5 linked regions of the Danio rerio genome follow. The protein of the gene in region 2 interacts with the protein of the main gene of each other region in a pairwise test. Links are inferred from orthologs where the notes say so. Each region holds a gene or a part of one and is shown on either strand. Other genes may lie near its edges.

Evidence for each region.
Region 1: the proteins of ppp1cb (region 2) and ppp1r3b interact in a two-hybrid assay, tested with the Homo sapiens proteins (2 studies listed by BioGRID and IntAct). The link is inferred for Danio rerio from reciprocal best matches to the Homo sapiens genes PPP1CB and PPP1R3B.
Region 3: the proteins of ppp1cb (region 2) and ppp1r16a interact in binary tests that used the Homo sapiens proteins (3 or more experiments, as listed by UniProt). The two-hybrid records come from large-scale screens. The link is inferred for Danio rerio from reciprocal best matches to the Homo sapiens genes PPP1CB and PPP1R16A.
Region 4: the proteins of ppp1cb (region 2) and sh2d4a interact in binary tests that used the Homo sapiens proteins (3 or more experiments, as listed by UniProt). The two-hybrid records come from large-scale screens. The link is inferred for Danio rerio from reciprocal best matches to the Homo sapiens genes PPP1CB and SH2D4A.
Region 5: the proteins of ppp1cb (region 2) and csrnp2 interact in binary tests that used the Homo sapiens proteins (3 or more experiments, as listed by UniProt). The two-hybrid records come from large-scale screens. The link is inferred for Danio rerio from reciprocal best matches to the Homo sapiens genes PPP1CB and CSRNP2.

What each region holds. Positions count from the first base shown.
Region 1 is NC_133196.1:21,261,064-21,265,069, reverse strand, and holds the start of ppp1r3b (protein phosphatase 1 regulatory subunit 3B), read left to right. Parts: upstream 1-1,191; 5' UTR 1,192-1,305; intron 1,306-1,570; 5' UTR 1,571-1,668; coding exon 1,669-1,682; intron 1,683-2,813; coding exon 2,814-3,726; 3' UTR 3,727-4,006. UniProt on the Homo sapiens protein: Acts as a glycogen-targeting subunit for phosphatase PP1. Facilitates interaction of the PP1 with enzymes of the glycogen metabolism and regulates its activity.
Region 2 is NC_133192.1:27,042,076-27,046,132, reverse strand, and holds the start of ppp1cb (serine/threonine-protein phosphatase PP1-beta catalytic subunit), read left to right. Parts: upstream 1-1,257; 5' UTR 1,258-1,278; coding exon 1,279-1,330; intron 1,331-4,057. UniProt on the Homo sapiens protein: Protein phosphatase that associates with over 200 regulatory proteins to form highly specific holoenzymes which dephosphorylate hundreds of biological targets.
Region 3 is NC_133187.1:14,314,841-14,318,982, reverse strand, and holds the start of ppp1r16a (protein phosphatase 1 regulatory subunit 16A), read right to left. Parts: upstream 2,814-4,142; 5' UTR 2,733-2,813; intron 2,586-2,732; 5' UTR 2,432-2,585; intron 1-2,431. UniProt on the Homo sapiens protein: Inhibits protein phosphatase 1 activity toward phosphorylase, myosin light chain and myosin substrates.
Region 4 is NC_133185.1:7,473,450-7,476,968, reverse strand, and holds part of sh2d4a (SH2 domain-containing protein 4A), read left to right. Parts: intron 1-1,476; coding exon 1,477-1,624; intron 1,625-3,519. UniProt on the Homo sapiens protein: Inhibits estrogen-induced cell proliferation by competing with PLCG for binding to ESR1, blocking the effect of estrogen on PLCG and repressing estrogen-induced proliferation. May play a role in T-cell development and function.
Region 5 is NC_133198.1:36,610,537-36,614,794, reverse strand, and holds the start of csrnp2 (cysteine/serine-rich nuclear protein 2), read left to right. Parts: upstream 1-1,448; 5' UTR 1,449-2,107; intron 2,108-4,258. UniProt on the Homo sapiens protein: Binds to the consensus sequence 5'-AGAGTG-3' and has transcriptional activator activity. May play a role in apoptosis.

The sequences.
Region 1 (4,006 bases), on a different chromosome or scaffold from region 2:
CTCCCATGACAAGTTTCATGTAACTTACTGTGGGAAGAGAAAGCAAATAATAATACATAATATCTAAATATTCTTTCCTGTCGAAACTGTCTAAATAAGCATGCAGTGATGTTATTAAAAGATGGTTTTTACCACAGTTTTGAGGGTCAAAACCAGCTGTTATTGCTGACCAATATAATAAGTATTTTCTTTCTAGTCTTTGCATGTGGTTTTGACTTTGTCTAGCATGTGATTGGCATGCTGGATACAAATTTTAGATTGATTTATGCAAGTGAAGGCCAGAAACAACTAGACAGAAACCTTGAATGTCAAATACAGACCAGTGACATTAGTACCTTTCCCTGAAAAAACAGTGACCTTCCATGAAATGTGTTCCTGCAAAATAAAAAATAAAAAAATAATAAAATCTTTCTTTTGTTCCCAGCTATAGCTATAGTATACTGTGACTTTATATCTTACAGTTTCATGTTATAATTGTGCATTTATAAGTTAGCATCTTGAAAAGTTGTTCTCAGAGTTTAAGGTTTGTGTTTCAGTGTTAATTTGAGATATAAACTCAAAATTTTTGGAAATAAAGTAATAATTCTGGGATTACGTTCATTCCCAACTCTAAGTAATAAAGTTTGTAATGGAAACTTCAGAATTGCGAGACGTAAACAATATGAAAAAAACCTTGTAGTAATTCTGAGACATAAACTCAGAATTCAGAGATATAAACAAAACTGCATATTGAGATAAAACTCAGAGATGTAATTTTAGAATTTTCTAATTTTAGAAAGATGACAGAATTTGTAGATTTAAAACCAGTTGTGAGATGTAAAGCCAGAATTGTGAGAGGAAAATGACCTGTGCTATAAATTAAACATTTTGCACTTTTTTATAATAATTATTATTATGATAAATCAATTAGAACTGAGAGAATAAAAAGTCACCAATTATCTACAGAATGTTAAAGCATGCAGAGGTTAGTGGGTTCATGTTTAGAGGGAAAAGTGTTGGATATTTTTATAACAGCATGGGGCTTTACAGTCTCGGCCTACTGACCCCCTAGTGCTTTCAGTCACGTGACAGCCATTGATCAGCAAGGGGTGCATGCATGCCCCAGTAGCCGGCCATGATTGGTCCAAACAGGTAGTTCACGTGAACACAGGCTGATCGTCTGCAAAAATGTAATTGTGGTACCGGTAAGCTAAGAAAGTCACTCATGCCCCACGAGGCTTTTACTGAGCGTTGAAGCTGCGTTCACTTACAAGAGACACTGGGCTTGATGAAGAAGTTTGACCTAATTTAAATGCCGTAACACAGGTATGCATTAACTTGTGCTTTTCAGGTTGCTTCTTTGTAATTAATTTTAAACATAAAAGGAATTACAAGTGAATGCACTGCATTGAATCGTGCCCCAGCACGCAGGCTTTTTTAATATAAGAAGGGAGGAAACTTTATTAAACACTGTCGTGCTCAGGGAAACAGCTACAAACCAGGAAGAACATGACACAAAACGACAAAAATGATATAACGCTTTAAAAACATATGGAAAAACTATATCGCATGCGTTTTCGTTTTTAAAAAGATTCGCCGATTAAAACAGCTGGAGTTGACCGTAGACGAAGGAAGCAGCATGATAAAGCGTGATGGTATTTTGGACCCGGGAGAAAGTTGAAACTGCAAATGAGCTCCAACAGGTGTGAATCTAACGATTTGTTTCATTCATGTTTATTGTGATTATCTACGATATCAATTAAACCACTTTCTTATAAAAATAAAAGGTGAGTTTATCTCGTGCTTTACCTAATCAGGCGGAACAATGTTACATTGTTCCAGACCGTATATGGAAACAAGCTTAGACTTGCTGTGTGGTAAAAGTTTGTTTCATGTAATAGTTGGCTTAAATTAAGTTATATTTCTATATTTGGATGTTTATAAGTTTGTAAAATCTACAATAACTAAAATTACTTGCACCATTACTAAATAAAGAAGACGATTTATGCATAGTTGTGCGTGAATTTAATGTAGTCATCAATAGTTATTTAAACAACTTTAAATCATATAAATGTTCGTTAATGTTAACAGTGTATAGCTTAGTTGTTCTTACAAGTGTGTCCATTATAGGCCATACACCACAATCAATATGAGACTGATACAAGTGCACTGTAAAAATAATGCAACAGCCCTCCACATCTTTCCAGACATGACGTTGTAAGTTATGTAACTCGCTTGTCATTGCATAAACTGAGAGTATTACAGCTCACCTTGTCTCCCAATACTCTCAAAATGTAGGCTTTCATAAAGATATTGTCAATTACTATTAGTAATATATCCTTGCATATAGTCCAGCTTGGCTTATGTGCATATATTTCTTCTAATTATAACGTTTTATAATTTATGAACACTAGAGGGTGCACACTATCTTTGTGTAGTACAACCTCTCTGGGTTTCAATATCCACTCTCCGGCCTCGAGCTAAGATAAACTTGTTTGACTTGTAGACCCACTTACTGCAGTCGTTTGCGTAATGTTTAATTCTTTCATAGAGTCTATATTAAACCCTAGTTGCTGTGCATAAAGGTTTAATTGCTTCATACTGAGCCTATATGAGTTACTTCATCCTGAGTTACTTTAAAGTATGAGGGTGAAATTTAAATTAGTCATGCATTGGAAGATTTCATCAGCAGTATTCACAGACCAGGGGTGCACTCTTTAAGCTTCTCTTTAGCTTTTTAGCTTCTTTTTGAGGGAAGCTAATTTTTAGGAATGCAAACCTCTCGTGATGTATTAATTTGGTTACTAATACATGTTTTTTTTATTTTATTTTAGTGCACGTAGCTGCCCTCCCAAAGAATCTACCATGCCTATCGAACTGGCCATGTCGCTTTATCTGTCAAGCGATGAGTTCCTGAACCCAAGGGCATCTAAATACAGCGGGCCCTTGCAGCCATGTCTAAACCAGTGTCAAAGCTCCAAAATTAGTTTTAGCTCTCTTAAGGAGCAGTCCGAGTTCAATGGGGTCAGCAGAGCCTTGATGATACCTGGCAGGGCCAAAAAACATGTCTCTTTTGCTGATCACAAGGGCCTCGCTCTGACCGTGGTGAAGATATTCTCTGAATTCGATGACCCCATTGACATTCCAGACAACATCGATAATTTTTTCACCTCTTCGCTGACTGTATCAGAAGGAAAGGACAAATTAACCCTCGATTTTGAGCAGCCGTCTGCTGATTACTTGAAATTCCGTCAACGAATAGAAAATGATCATGTCTGTCTCGAACACTGCATGCTTAAGGAGAAATCTATAATGGGCACAGTCAAAGTCAAGAACATTTCCTTTGAGAAGTCTGTTAAGCTTCGCATTACATTTGACACTTGGAAGAACCACACAGATGTAGAATGCCAGTACGTAAAGGACACTTACACCGGCTCAAACCGGGACACTTTTTCATTTGAAGCTAGTTTGCCTGAACAGGTGCCCTCACATGAACGCATCGAGTTCGCTATTTGCTATGAGGTCAATGGTGATACACTCTGGGATAACAACCAAGGAAAGAATTACAGAATCATTCAGTCAGCACTGAGGAAGAGTTCAAATGAATCTAACGGTGGGCATCAGCAATATTCCCAGAGCGACTGGGACATTCATTTTGACCGATATGGCAGCCCCAGATGCTCCCGTGGAATCTTTCCCCATTGGCCAAGCTATGTTGGATATGAAGATATCGGCCCATATTATTAAGAATCTACTTTTGGCGTAGTCTATCATGCGCGCTTATCCAGAAGACATTGTGATGAATGCCACTTCAAAATGACACTTTAAAAAACACAGCAGGTTTGATGTTCTAATCCAAGAACTTGTCGGACTCTGAAGCCATATAGACTCTTGAGATATTTATTGTTAATAATGGATTACATTGTGCAACAAAATGAGTCCTGTTTTTAAAAATACTGTTCCTGGTGCGATACTAATGTAATTATGCGGGTAAATTTGTTTATTTCTAGTGCCTGTCAAATGCTAG
Region 2 (4,057 bases):
ACACTACCTGATAAAAGTTTTGTTGTCTACCCCAGTAGTAGGGGCAACAAATAATAAATTGACTTCTAGTTGATCATTTAAAAAAGTGGCAGAAGGTAGATTTTTCAGATGAATCATTTGTTGAACTGTTTTCCAATCATCACAAATACTGCAGAAGACCTATAGGAACCCGCATGGAACTAAGATTCTCACAGATATCAGTCAAGTTTGGTGAAGGAAAAGTCATGGTTTGAGGTTCATTCAGTATGGGGGCATGCAAGAGATCTGCAGAGTGGGTGGCAACATCAACAGCCTGAGGTATCAAGACATTTGTGCTGCACATTACATTACAAACTACAGGAGAAGGCAAATTCTTCATCAAGCGCTCTTCATACCTCAGTTTCCACAACAAAGTTCCTAAAAGCAAAGAAGGTCAAGGTGCTCCGAATTGGGCAGCCTTGTCACCAGACATAAACATTATTGAGCATGTCTGGGGTAAGATGAAGGAAGAGGCATTGAAGATGAATTCAGAGAATCTTGATGATTGCTGGGAGCCCAGCAAGAACGCTTTCTTTGCCATCCCAGATGACTTTATTAATAAGTTATTTAAGTCATTGCAGAGATGTATGGATGCAGTCTTCCAAGCTCACGGGAGTCATACACAATAATAATTATCTTTCCACTGCAGCATGACTTTATATTCTAAACTGTACATTATTTCAGTTAAGTAACAAGACTTGTCTAAGCAAAGTCAGATCTTACTGTCCTAATTAAATAATTAAAAATCGAGGCATGATCATATTTTATTTCAGTAAAATAAGCTTAAACTTAATAAGCTTAGAAGTCAAGTTATTATTTGTTGTCCTTAAAATTTGGATAGACAACAAGACTTTTGTCAGGTTTACATCAGTGGAAACAAATACTAGTCTTTGTATTTTTAATGTGTTTAAGTTAAGGTATTAAAATTAAGTTTTTAACTTTGCATTACATAAACATTAATATTGATTTTATTAAAATATTGAAAAAAATAAATAAATGCCAAGAGTATACCTATTATGAAAAAAATCCATCTAGAAGAGAAACCAAATACACAAATAGCCAAACATTAAACAATAGGAAACACCATTAACAATTAAACTCCTATCAACAGGTCAAAAGTTTGCCTTCAAACGCGATTAAATATTTATGAAAAGGTCATTAATATTGACGTAACTGCTTGTAACCAAGTGAATGACGTCATTGCAAGCGCCACCTAGCGGCCGTTGCTTGAAGCGCTGCATGCAGAACTCGGCACTGAAGATGGCGGAGGGGGAATTAAACGTTGACAGTCTCATCTCTCGACTTCTTGAAGGTAAGCTGTTTGAAAATTTAGCCTTTCTAACGTTTACACGATAAACCCAGTGATTAGACACTAGTTGTGACTTGTTTTATCGCCGGTGAATTGGAAATTTTGCGTTTAAAAAGAGAGCAAAGCTTCGGGTCTCTGCGCCCTGTTTACAAACACGGCAGTGGCCCCGGGGTTTGGGCAGCTTTCATACCAGCGCTGGGAGGTTCAGATTAGATCTAATATCTACCAAAGCAGGGATGAGACGCGAGGGCCTGTGGTTTATACAGCAGATGTTTAAAGAAAGCGAGAAATGGGAGAAAGGGCAGGACGATGCGGTGCTCGCTGCGTCGTCGACTTTAGGCGAATGCAACCGACGTAAACCCGATTCTCCATTAGACTCTGCTTCTACTGGTTTCAAAATACAGGATTACCGTGTTATTCACCGTGTACGTTAAAACTCTTGATTTATGTGAAACAAATGGATTTTCTAAATCATCTTATTAATGTTCACGGTGTTTTGTGTGTAACAATACACTCAATCTTATCCGTAATTGTACAATGTAAGTAACGTTACAATTCACAGCGTTACATTATCGTTACTCTTCATATTTCCCTTTTAATATGTATTATTTGTCATAATTTTTCTTCCCTTCATAAATACATATTATCTTTATACCGTTGCATACCTTTAATGTCTCAATGCTTTCATTGGAAACGTTTGTTATAACTTTAGTAAAGCCATACAAAGAATGTAAGGTAACATTGAGTTGTATATGTTGTTGTTGTTTTTGTTGAGATATAGGTGCTGTTTTTTACTCAGACATTTAAAAAGACATATTTTAGAGCAGTGATCACAATACCGTGAAACTGTGATATTTTTATCCAAGGTTATCATACCGTCAGAATCTTATATCGGTCCATGCCTATTTATCACTGCATATTCACAAGGTTTCATTGCTATAAGGCCGCAGCTAAATTTGGTTGTCAGTTCAGATTTGATTGTTTAAATCTGTGCTGTTTACACAGTTCAGTCATTTATATGAGTGGCAACTACAGCAAGTGCTTTATTTCAAGGAAATGCAATTGATGGGTACATATACAGACATTCTACAGCTTGTAACAAAAAAAAATTAAATAATAACTAAATGTTAATGTTGTAATTGACACAGCAAACCTAAAAACCAATGTTTTAACTTAGAATAAACAAGCTTGTAGTGATAAACTGTATTTTTAATGTCAAAAGACACTTCGCAAGGATTGCTTGTAATTTGTATATGTGGCAAAACTTGAAGAGTGGCCTCTGTGAAGCAGCCTTCTAAAGAAATGTGTTTAAAGTCATCTTTAGTAGCTGTTAACAAAAATGTTGCTATGGTTACCACATTTACATTGTCTCTTGTTTTACTCACGATAGTTTGCAATTATTTGGGGGATTCCTCCTCTATTTAAATACAATTAACACTTTTAAAGCGTTATTTTGTGTACTTGGCCGTAGTAATGTTTCACTTCATTTCCCTAATGATTTAATTGCTTATTATTCCCCTTATTATAAGATTACACTGAATCCTCCTCTTAATGGCATTGAAAGCTGTATATTTCCTCCCGCGTGCTGTAAGGAATGTTACACTATATGTAGTTGTACTTTTAGGCCAATTCACAACTCTCAGACACAGATAACTAGGCATGGGCCAGTATAAGATTCTGATGGTTTGATAACCTTTCAAAAATATTGTGGTTTCTTGGTTTTGTGATAACTGCTCTGAAATATATGCTCTTTTTAAACCTCTGGGTAATAAACAAAAACTTTTTTCCCCTTTGAACACAATATCTTTCATTTTGAAGAGAAATGTTTAAAATATTTTGTAACAGTAAACATGTCCAAATAGTTCAAATGAATCCTTGTCTTTCTGTTATGAAATGAATCATTGTCTTTATTAGTTTTAAAAAAAGATTTTTTTATTTTATTTAAAACAACGTCTTTGGATATCTTTTCTGCTAGACATTCTGTTGTCCTAAAAACAAAAAAAGTACACATATCTTAGGAATGACATTGCAGAAAATTTGACAGTTTTGCACCTTGACTTTTCCAAACTGCGATATACCTTGAAAGTGGTGATTGTTTCATGTCTACTGACAGCTGGCAGTTTTATTGAATGGGTGAATTTTTTGATTCAGTGTTTATTAGATTTGCGAAAGGTTTGAGAAATTATATGCTGTTATCTGGTGATTGTTGGCATTTATTGGCATAGTAAAATACATGCCAAATAGAAATAGCCATTAGAATAACTATAGATAGTTACTTTTAATAAGTTAGAATTCAATAGAAATTTAATCTTAAGGCTCGTACACACCGGGACGCTTTTCGTTTGCGTTTATGGTCAGCATTTTTCAAGGTGTTTTTCCGGATTCAAACCCAAGCAATTTTGCAAAAGACCCAAGCAAAAGGATATGCAAAATTACTCCTTGACGTTAGATGACGCTACACAACTTTAAGCTTCTGACATTCGCATGTAACACTAAAGAAGAAGACAAAGTTGACATGCTTGTTGTTATGGATGGTTCAAGTAGCAGCTCCAGCTTTAGCGATGAGGAAATGATTATTGTTCACCAATGCAATAAGCAGCTCCACCTTCATATCGCCTCTAGGCATCTTCTTGACAGCTTTGCGCTTGAGAGCCTCCAAGTGCTGTTTACTGTAACTTCAGCAGCTCCGTGCACGTGAACAAAAGTGCCAACCTGATTGGTGGAGAAGGT
Region 3 (4,142 bases), on a different chromosome or scaffold from region 2:
GAATAAAAATATCATGGTTTTATGGTAACAGAGTATTGTGATTATAGAGTGGGTAAAAATTATTGAACCCAACATATTTAATAGGGATGTCCAGATCACATGATCGGAAATCGGGCCTGATCATGCGGTTTTAGACTCCACTGGAATCAGACATTATAATTATAATAGACATTATATTATAATATATATATATATATATATATATATATATATATATATATATATATATATATATATATATATTCTCATTGTTTTTAACATCTATAGTTATGCAGTGGCACAGAGTTAAACCTCTTTCTTGATTTCACACAGAAACAGCAACGCATGCGGCATGACATCACCTTGTTGCAGAGACACTATTGGTCAAATGCTGGCAGAGTAGAACATGGAAGTAGCTTGAAGCGGAAAACGTGAGTATGTCTGCAGTCTGGAGGTATTATAAAGTTAAGGACAACAACATTGCCATAGCAAACTATGAGATTTTTAAACTTGGGAATAGGTATGGGACGATAATCATTTTCAAGGTATACCGTGGTTTGTAAAAGTCAAGGTTTTAAAACCGCCAAAATGTTCTGCTATACCGTTCCTACGGTATATGCAAGTTTTTTTTTCTTTTTTTTTTACATTTCATTTTAAGTTTTTTAGGACAACAGTATCTTCAGCAGAAACAATATTCAAACAGCCTTTTCAAGTTGAAAGAACTCTGTGTTTTTTAAAACAAATGAAGACAGCAGAATACCATAAAACATTGAAACCGTGATTTTTTTTTTCCAAGGTTATCATACACTCAGAATCTTATACCGGCCCATGCCTACTTGTGATTGCCTGCCAGGCATTTTAAGTTGAGGTGCTATTTGTTTTTATATTAGCTTTTTTATATTTACTGTTGCATTTAAGTCCAAAAGTAAAAAATATATGTTGTTTATCGCTTGATTATTCAAGCAACCTCACAGAAGTGCTCTGTTTGTTAACAGAGTTGTTGAATGGTAAAATAAGGTAAATTATTCAAAAAAATAAGGAACATTCTGGATCTGTTTCTTTGCTCTTTTTTATTCTTTTTTTTTAGTTTTTATGTATTATAGACGTATCGCATCGGGTTTGGTTATCGGTAGATAGTAAAAATCAAATTACTCAGACTCAGATTAAGGGCAAAAAAAACCTGATCAGGACATCCCTAAAATGTAATTTTAAGAAACACTTCTGCTGAAAGAGACTTCTGCTGTCTTTATTGGTTTTAAAAACACAGATTTCTTTACAACTTGAAAAGGCATCTTTGAATCTTTTCTCTTTTTTTGGATAAAAAAGTAAGCCGCTGCACTGTTCAGGCCAGCATGCTTGGATGTTACTGCATAAGCAGTTCGTTTTTCAGATGTTTTCTGAATCGTTGGTTGACCAGTACATTTTAATGTGGAGGGTCTTTTTCTGCTGGAGATACTGTTGCTCTAAAAACTAAATAAAATATTCAATAAAAAGAACAATATACGTATACTATATGAACAGTATGACAGAAAAGTTTAGCGGTTTTAAAACTGGATATCAACTCATGCCTACTCGTGATTATTTTATTATGTATTCATTATTATTCATAATAACTGACCGTCCACTTGTTGGCAACATTTAACCATTATTTTTAATTAATTAAATGTGTGTAGGTGTGTGCGCGTTTGTGTGGTTTCAAAACTAGCATAAAACTAAAATGTGGGCAGGCACAGTGACTAAAGCTTAAAGAAGCATTAAGCTTGTTAATTGCTATATTTATGTATAATCACTGTTGGGGCAGTAATGTACAAATTACTTTTTAAGCAGTAAACAATCTCAAATATTGTTCCTTTCCCTGTTCCTCAGCTATTTCACTCGAACTATACATTATATTGCATAATTATAATAAACATTACATTTTAATTAATTAATAAATATTATTCAAACTCATGCATTATGATAATAAAAGTGAACCGTCACCAACATTTGAACATTTTATTTAATCGAAAACTCATGAAACGTGATTCGAATCAAGAATAGCATTCCATAACAATACGGTACTATGATATTTACGTAGTACTTTGATATATAAAGTGTTAAGCAAAACATGATGACGCAATTGTACCATGTCAAAAGCTTAGTATTACAATAGAACATGCCAAAAAATATTATTTGAAATACTCTATTTCCTGTTTACTAGCATAATGCTAACCTGCCTGAAGTCCAGAGTTCACTTCAACTTTTCAATAATCCGCATACAAAAAGTATCACCGATCCAAAACTGCTTCAAACATTAACATAACACTGTGCTGAATCCGTCCTTCCATAATAAAGCTGTTTTAGCGTTGATGTTACTGTATGTAACACTGTCAATGGCCTGTCAACGCACCTGAACACACACCTGTCATTTAAACACCTGTTTGACACGTCACATTCAACGCTTTTGTCTTACCTGTTGCTTCAGCTGAAATCAGTCTGTGCATTCATGGTTGTTTAACGGCGCTTCAATCCCCTTCGTCAGCTTTTACGGGAAATATATTACTCTCCATAACATCCGCTGCGCCCTTCGGTCCGTCCACTTGCTCGATGCATCCCGACAGTCGGCGCTACTCTCACACAAACACACCACACTGAGAATCGCCACAGAAACACAAATGGAGAATATGCGGCTAAAGGGCAATAATAGTTTTTTAAGTGACCGGTTTGGTCTGAAAAAAAACGTTATTTTTTCACATTTTACTATATATTTTCACCTCAATTTCTAAAGTTACCAGTGTTAATTTTTCAGGTGTAACCTCTTTCCCAGACCTCCAAAGTGGCAAATGGCAATTGACAGCGTTGCAACGTGGTGTCTGTTACTTTTCTCTGCGCTTGTCAGGTTTAACCAATTATGTTCGACTTTAATTATTGATACACTATTCGTTAAATTAATTTATATCGATAGATCCCTGTGGAGAATTCCATGACCATGCCAGACAGTAAGCATTTGCATCCACATTGTTTAAACAAAACTATTGTCTTGTGTTGTAAAGTTCTTAATAAAGGCGTTCTAAGATCAAGCGTTGCGTTGTGTCTCATGTACACAACATGGGGGCGTTGTTACTATAACAACTAATTCATGTCTATGAAGAAGACAAGGAGAAATTCCCTTCATATTCATTACTCATACACATGGGTATGTATGAATAATTTCGGCCTTGACTGTATATGTTCGTTTTATTTTGTATGGCTTGATCAAATAAAAGAAAAAGAGAAAAAAATCATTTTCTTCATGTTGTGAATTACATATCAAATAGCATGCGCTCAGAAGACAGCAATGCAGAAGAGATTGAAACGTTTAAATAAACATAACAAAAATTCCCAACAAACACACAACGTTGCCTCAACGTAGCGACCTTCCTACAACGTTGTATCAACATTGCAAAAAGGTTGAGGATTCTACGTTGTTGCTAAAGGTTGTCACAACGATGTCATAAGGTTGCCATTTAAACATCATGAGGGTCGCCCAACAAACACATTTACGTTGTAGCGATGTCTGCACAACGTTGTATTTTTTCAAAGGCAACGTTGCCGCTTACGTGCTCGCTACATTGTCACAACGTAGAAATGTAAGACGTGAGAAGGCTGTAGCAACGTTGTCGTGCGACATTCAGCAACCGCGAGGCGGCGTTCTTACTACTTGTATTGATATTTTTTTGTGGCAGTTTATCATTACTGCCTAGAATACAGGATAAGCAGCAATTCTTTTCCAGTATTGCTTAATATGAAATATTGTTCATTTATTTTTCCTATTTAATTTAAAAACTGCATGTGTAAACTTTAAAGTGTAAAAATGCCACACAAATGAATATCAAACTTTTTATTATATATTTCACAACATTTAATAAATACAGTACACATACAGTATCTAATTATAAGCAAACAGTATAAAATAAAGTTTATATATATATATATATATATATATATATATATATATATATATATATATATATATATATATATAATTAAACTAAAGGGTAAACAAACAAGAAAAGTAAACAAGAAATCATTAAAAGGTAAATAAATATATAAATAAATATATAAATTAAAATTCAAACACTGGGCAGTGAAGCTCTGGACTGGAGAATACAGCAGACCGGGGAGCGCAGCTGAAGACCAGTCGT
Region 4 (3,519 bases), on a different chromosome or scaffold from region 2:
ATTTCTTCAACACATTTCTAAACATAATAGTTTTAATAACTAATAATAACTAGTTTATTTTATCTTTGCCATGACGACAGTAAATAATATTTTAATAGATATTTTTCTAGACACTTCTATACAGCTTAAAGTGACATTTAAAGGCTTAACTAGGTTAATTAGGTTAACTAGGCAGGTTAGGGTAATTAGGCAAGTTATTGTATAATGATGATTTGTTCTGTAGACTATCGAAGAAAAAAATAGCCTTAAGGGGCTAATAATTTTTTCCCTAAAATGGTGTTTAAAAAATTTATAATTGCTTTTATTCTAGCCAAAATAAAACAAATAAGACTTTCTCTAGAAAAAGAAATATTATCAGACATACTGTGAACATTTCCTTGCTCTGTTGAACATCATTTGGGAAATATTTAAAAAAGAAAAAAAATCCAAAGGAAGGCTAATAATTCTGACTTCAACTGTGTATGTATGTGTATATATATATATATATATATATATATATATATATATATATATATATATATATATGTGTGTGTGTGTGTGTGTGTGTGTGTGCGTGCCTGCGCGTGTGTGTGTGTGTGTGTGTGTGTGTGTGTGTGTGTGTGTGTGTGTGTGTGTGTGTGTGTGTGTGTGTATTGACGAATAATTTCAAACAGGCCAATTAACGGAGATGGATCAATTTTAATAAATGTAATTACTGAAAATGAATCAAAAACAGACTCCCAAGAAGGAAACGAAGCTGGATAGGTCCAAAACATGTGAAGTAGATTTGCAGGTTCGGAGTGACATTTGTCACAGTTTAAATCTGTAGCAGTGAACACGCGAGCCAGTTTACACTAAGACCAGTGAACCCTGTGGACTACTTTGCACAGTAGAATCCCATGACGAGCACATACAGATGATGTTTGGACCTTTTGTAAAGTTTTAACCAAGCCGTACAATTTTAAGTTGAGTCAACTTTTTTTTCTTTTTTCTTTTCTTTTTCTTTTTTTTTTTTTTACAGTGCAGGTTCTCATAAAATGTGTGCTTTGTTTCAAAGTTGGTCATGGGCATCCAGGGTATGCATCAGTGCACAGTGCTCATGAATGTGGTGCACACCCTGTACTCACACTGAGGAGAGAAACTGTTGAATAAAGACATTATTCCTGTTTTATATGAGCACAATTGACATGATAGGATTTTGAATGAACCACTGCAGGTGTGTGGTCTGTTTCGAGGATGCTTTTGGTTCCTTTCTGCTCGAGTCAAAACCATTGTTGTGTATGGAGTTTGAGGGAGCTTTCACATTTCACCTGAAATACCTTAAATTGTATTCTAAAGATTAATAAAGGTGTCAGGGGGTTTTAGTAATTAATAACTGAATTTATATTTTGTGTAAACTAATACTTTACTTATTGCAGGGGCTTTTTTTGTTACCCTTTGTTCCCTTTTTCTCCTTTTAAGTTTATTTGTGGTCTCTGGATGCTTGTTTTTGCTCAGAAAATGGAGCAGGAGGAGAGGCGTAAGGCTGAGGAGGAGCTGAGGAGGCTGGAGCAGGAGAGGAAACAGCAGATTTACCAGTGCCTAAAGGAGGTGCAGAGCAGCAAAAACACACTAGAGGAGGAGGATAAGGACTGGAAGGAGACATGTAAGACAAACCTCATCAGTGCTGAACACTACACCTTATTTTCTTATGAGTTTATTATTTATTGTTATATTTTAACTTGTATTTGTTACATGTACTACTCATTTAGGATCTGCATTACTGTACTGGACATTCAGGTGGATCTCTGAATAATCCATTAGTTGACTTTATTTGTAGAAAGTGATTAAAACCCCTTAACTGCAACCCCCACTTTTTGAACATAGACATGAAAATGGCATGTTCAACTTCATAGACCTCAAATTCCGGGAGGGCCACAGCTCTGCACAGTTTTGCTCCAACCCTAATTAAGCACAGCTGATCCAACGAGTCAAAGTTGTCAAGATCACTAGACATTATTAGATCAGCTATCTTTGATTAGGGTTGGAGCAAAACTGTGCAAAGCTGCGGCCCTCCAGGTATTGAGTTTGAGACCTAGGACTTAAATGAACGCCAATCTTCAACACTTTGCTATATAGATATAAGCTTAGTCTCATTTTAGACAGATGTACAATTTTTATTATATTTAAAAGGGTTCAACACAGTTTGGACAGTGTTTTGTTGTGTTTCATTAAAATTGATTCTCTTAAGACATCAATACTCTGATCAATACTCCTGTTTCAAAATAAATAAATAACTGTTGCTCAGTAATAATTCCTTAAAATCAATTAAACCATCAAAAAATAGACATTTTAAGCTTTGAAATCATATATAGTTTGTCATTACTGACTTATGTTTAGACTTTAAAAATGTAACTGCAAACAGTCCAATAGGTGACATATTATAAAATATATTGTATTGACATATGGTAAAATATTTATTTAGAAGATATAGGCATCATGATTCATGATAGAATCATGATTAGGATTAGACTGACATATAGTGAAGTTATCTTAAGTGTCCCGGTAGCGAGACGGTGACAGTTAAACCTATTGACTTAATTTTCACATTTTTCACATACTGTAGTTTGCTGAATTTTAAGTCACCTTAAAAGTTCAACTTGTCACTTGTCAAGTTTTTTTTATTAAAGCAATTAATTGATCTAACAGTGAACATGTACTTATGTTACAATGTCAACAGCGAACATTTCGAAACCCCTTAGAAGGGAACATGATGATTAGGGCACAGGGATGAACCCTCAATGTTCTGAACGCGTTAGATGTATTTCTGAAACATGAAATATTTGATTTGGATGTTCATTTAATGTTTTTTTAATGTAATTTCTTGTTTCAAAATGTCCAGAGAACATTGAAAAGCAAGTTGTAAATGTATTATATTAACAGAAAATTTTTACAAAATATATATCTCCTTGTTTGTTTTGTCACCCAAAATACTCTTACTTTCTCATTACTGCAATTCCATAAAAATAATCTCATTATTTGTTATCTTTTTTTTTTTTGTCAATTTTCAGTATCGTCATTACACTACTACATCTTTTTTAGTTAAAATTTTTGTTGTATAAAAGTCTACAAGACAATAAATTAGAGAACACATATTATATAAAAAATAAATTGAAATTACTGAGAAAGAGTGGAAAATAATTTTTAAAACACAGTGGAAATCAACATCCTCCTCAGTCTGGAGGGAATTTGGTTGGAAAAACATCATTCGTTTTTTCGTCATCCCTGAGCAAAAGACACATTTATACAAAAAGGCAGTCTGCTGGAGATTATGTGGCTCAAATAAAGCAAATCATTCACATATTTTCTGGAAATGTTTAAAAATCCAGGCATTTTGGCAAGACATTCATAAATATTTAGAAAATATATTCTATATCCCCATCGATTTTTCTTCCTCAACTTTATACTTAGGCCTAAAAAAATCCTATGTTAGAAGAAAAATCTGACAAAAAACTGCTGAAAATTTTGCTGATAGCCTGTAAAAAATGCTATAACCAAAAA
Region 5 (4,258 bases), on a different chromosome or scaffold from region 2:
TTTGTCTTTAAATGTTTAACAGTGTTACTGGTTAAAATCGATTCCTTCCTTTATCGAGAGACTATTAAGTTGTTAAGATTATATTAGAATGCCTATTAAGATTCTACAGTGGAAAACACTGCAGACAATTCATGGCCATTCAATAAGGCACTGCATTGGTAACATGGGTCAGGCCTGTAGCCAGCCTGGTGAAAGTGGGTGGTTCTTTTTGTTTTTAAAGGCAGACTTTTTTTTTTTTTTTTTTTTTACAGCTATTTGGTTCATTTTCTATTTGATTTTTAAAAATTAATATATAATTCATTTTTTTAATTTTAAATTTTCTATTAAATACTGCATTTTAGTGACATTTCAGCACCGTTTTTTTGCTGGATTAGCCTGTCAGATGGTTGAAAAATAGGAATCTGTTAAATTTTTTAATTAAATCTGTTGCCTGTTGTCATTTATTAGACGAATGACAAACTGGTCAGTACATTCAATCTTCCACAGTCCAAATTTGGCCATTTGAATCATAAATTAAATTAGGTAAAGAATAATAAATTATAAAAGTACATTTGAAAGTTACAAATGACAACAAGTCTAATTGGTATTAAAGTTAAACTTTAATATTGGCCGCTTTTGGTGCTTCAAACTTTTTTATTGGTCTTAAAGCCTTTTTCATTGGGTTATCATATATTAATTATGGCATAGGAGTCAAAACAGGACAAAAGTGCTCATGTTTAGGACAAATTCTGGACGTTTGTCAGTGGAGGGTGGGTCTTTCATACCACCCGAACCCCCCCCCCCCCCCCCCCCTAGCTATGGTCCTGTGGGTGCACATCACCCAAAAATTAAATTAAATAAATAAAAATAAATAACCTCAAAATCTATATTTGCATATGTAAATTAGCAAATTTTGGACTATTAATATATCTTATGAAATGATTTAGCTTCATTGCCAAAAATAAGGGGCACAAAATATATAACCAAATCAATGAATCTAAATTAATCTCTTATCCTTCTCTTTTGAGTTTCAGGCTGAAATGTGTCCCCAGCATGAAGTTGACACACTGAGCTTCATCTACCTTTATTTTTCTTACATGTGTAATTGTTTTTGAAGTCTTTTCCTAATAGTGCTCGTCTAGTCTAGAGTTTGAGAATGACCCCACTTAGTTTCCATGGAAACCGAACTGTCAAAAAAAGCAAGGACTACAAACAGACCCAGCTAGCTTAGCGTGACTGTCACAGATAAGGCGTCTGTTTGACACACAGTTGCCTTTTATTGCGTTACACGCCTTGTTTCCAAATATAACCGCAGAGAGGAACAATGTCCGTTTTCCTGTCGAAGAAGACGACGTAGTTTCGAATGCTAACAAGCGGTTTTAGAACTACACTTCCCGGCATCCTCTACGCCGTCACGTACGTGACGTCACAATCAGTATATATGGGTGCCGTGCGGCATTCCTTACTCTATTGTTACATTGTAACAAACCGGGGCAGAAGAGAGGCCCATAGGGTCCTCGGGCCGACAGATACTACACATCATTTTTGTTTTTTCTTTCCTTCGGGGTGGAAATATAACGTTGCGATTTGTCTAAACATAGCGCAGAACACAACCACCAATCCGGAGGAAAAAAAGCCCCGAAGGCTCGGCTCTATCTGGTCTTTTTCAATGCAGGCGTTTTAAAGGATCACCTAGAGGTTTTATGTGCATTTATTGGACGCCTCAACGCCAGGATTTGTCATTTCTAGTGAATACGGTCCTTGTCTGCCTTCGTCTGCCCCGTTTTTTATCTTTACAGAGCTTGACTGCAACGTTGAATTCTCGCATAGGCTTCTTAACACACAAACCCCCCATTTACACTCCACGTAAAGACTAATATCCATTGTTTACGATGCTTAAATGTTCAGACATCACTATATCTTCGTGAAAAAGCTGATATTTCCTCTTTGGTCTGGTCATTTCCATGGGCTGAAGTCGCTTTTGTCTGTCATCTCGTAACCTTGTGGAAGTCTAAAGCTGAAATATTGGCTCAGAAAATCCCCAAAGAACAGAAAACCATCCAAATAAAGGAAGCACAGGAACGAGCGACAGATTCGGCGGTTTAAAGGCTGTGTATTTCTGCCCAAGGTAAGTCAACGAGAAAAAGGTTTTGTGTTTCACTTTTGCCTTGTCTTTCCCCATACAGCCCAGCCTACACGGAAAAATGGGTTGATCATTGGACCGGTTGCAACACAGCATGCCATTTTCTGCCCTGTCATAAGACCCTCTATCTGTATTTTCCAATAAAGCATATAAAATCATGGGATTGATCATATGTGATGTGTCATCCCAATCATAGTGGGTCATACTGTGGCAGGCCGTTTTACCATCTATCCCTTTAACGTGAATGTGTTTCAGCACTTCATTTATAAGCACTTTGTCAATCTCTGCTATTGTGTTGGTAAATTGTTTCCCATTGCATTTAATATTTCAGTGACAGTATATTCTAGTAATTAATATACAAATTGTTTTCTTTGATGCTTGATATAATGTGTTATCCTAACAATATTGCATTCAAATATACACCAATCTACTTTATGTGTTTGTCACTAGTTCCAACAGATGTTACTAGAGATATTTCTTTACTCACTTGTGTTTTTCTGGTAGTGGCCAGAAGTCAAATTTGGAAAATGTAGTTCATAATTTGACATGCACAACACTACATATGATGATACTATTAGTAAATCTTAAAAAGCAATGACAACTGAAATACACAGTCATCTATATAATTGGATGTCAAATGTTTGCAAGTTGTTTCTATACTAATAATTGCCAAATAAGTGTCATTAACTTGTTATTTAGTGTGATTACTGAATAAATAATTGCTGAATCTATTATAAATGCACATTATTGGTAAAATAATTGCATTTTAATAGACACTGTTGTGCAAACAGTCATAATAAATCGTCAATTATTTGCCTATTTCACTGCCAGACCCCTTTAATATCCCAGATGCTGGGTGTGTATGGAAGCGGTGCACGGCAGCATCTACAAATAAAAATAATGTTTGCATTTTAAGAAATTGCACCGTCACCTATGCAGTTTGTCCATTGAAAGGCATAGTGTTTGTGTGTGTCACATCTAGGACGAGCTATTTCAGTGCGTACCAGTCAAACAGGCTGATGTGTAGTCAGTTCGGCAAGGTGATTATTCATGCTTTCTGTCCACCTCAAATAGACCACAGGATGTGTGTGTGTGTGTGTGTGTCTGCAAACATAGACCAGCCCACAGTCGCATCATTGCTTTTAAATGACCTGTGCTGCATTCATTCATTTTCCTAAACATGTCATTTCTTGATTTTTTGAGGATTTGCGCTACTGGATTTGCATTTTTGGATTGAAGGAGTGTCTCTGGATGTATGGGATCATATTTATTGCCTCGGGGACCATCTCTGGGATATGTAAATTATGTCAAACATCCGACATATGCCTTTCAATGAAGTTCGTTTGTCATTTATTTGATATGCATTGGATTATTATGTTTGCTTTCAGGCTCATTTTTTGTGCTCCGGTTTTTAATAGTAATGGTCCCCAATAACCGCATGGTACAGTGTGCAGTGCTTTTAAAAGCCGCTTGCCAGTTGATCATAATTCAAAAATGAAGAACTACTGAGTACTTTGCATCAAAAATGGTGTGTTTTATACCAGTTTATTGCATATTTGAGATATCCATGTTTTAGGTTTTGATCATGGAGAATATGTGAACCTGATTTCACCAAGTGGGACATGTTCCTGGGTTAACATCTATGTTGATCCTGGAACAAAATTCCAATCAGCCAATCGGAATTGAGGGCTATGTTTTCCGTTTATGTTATGCTTAGGCTTCGGTTAGGTTTATGCACTTCTATATGATTGTTATCCAACTATTATTCACCTCTGATTTTGGGAATAATTTACCGTTATGGTTGGGTTTAGAGGTAGGGAATAGGTATGGATTATATTTTCCCAACATGTGGCAATGTGTGAAACTAAAATTTACAGTTTTTAGATTCAAGATTAATAGTTTTCTAATGAAAAGTGCTGGTGATTATTGTTATCATTTTAGCATTGATTTATTTAGGTTTTACAATTAAGAGGCCACTTAATAATTCATTAGTATTTTACTGGATTCATTTATTATGTGAATGAGTAAAGTGCAAATTTCAAATTTAAATTTCAGGGCTTTTTTTGCCAAGAAAATCACAGTCAGTCAAAATAACAAATGTTTTCATTTGTTGTAATTGAAAATCAGAGTTTTCCT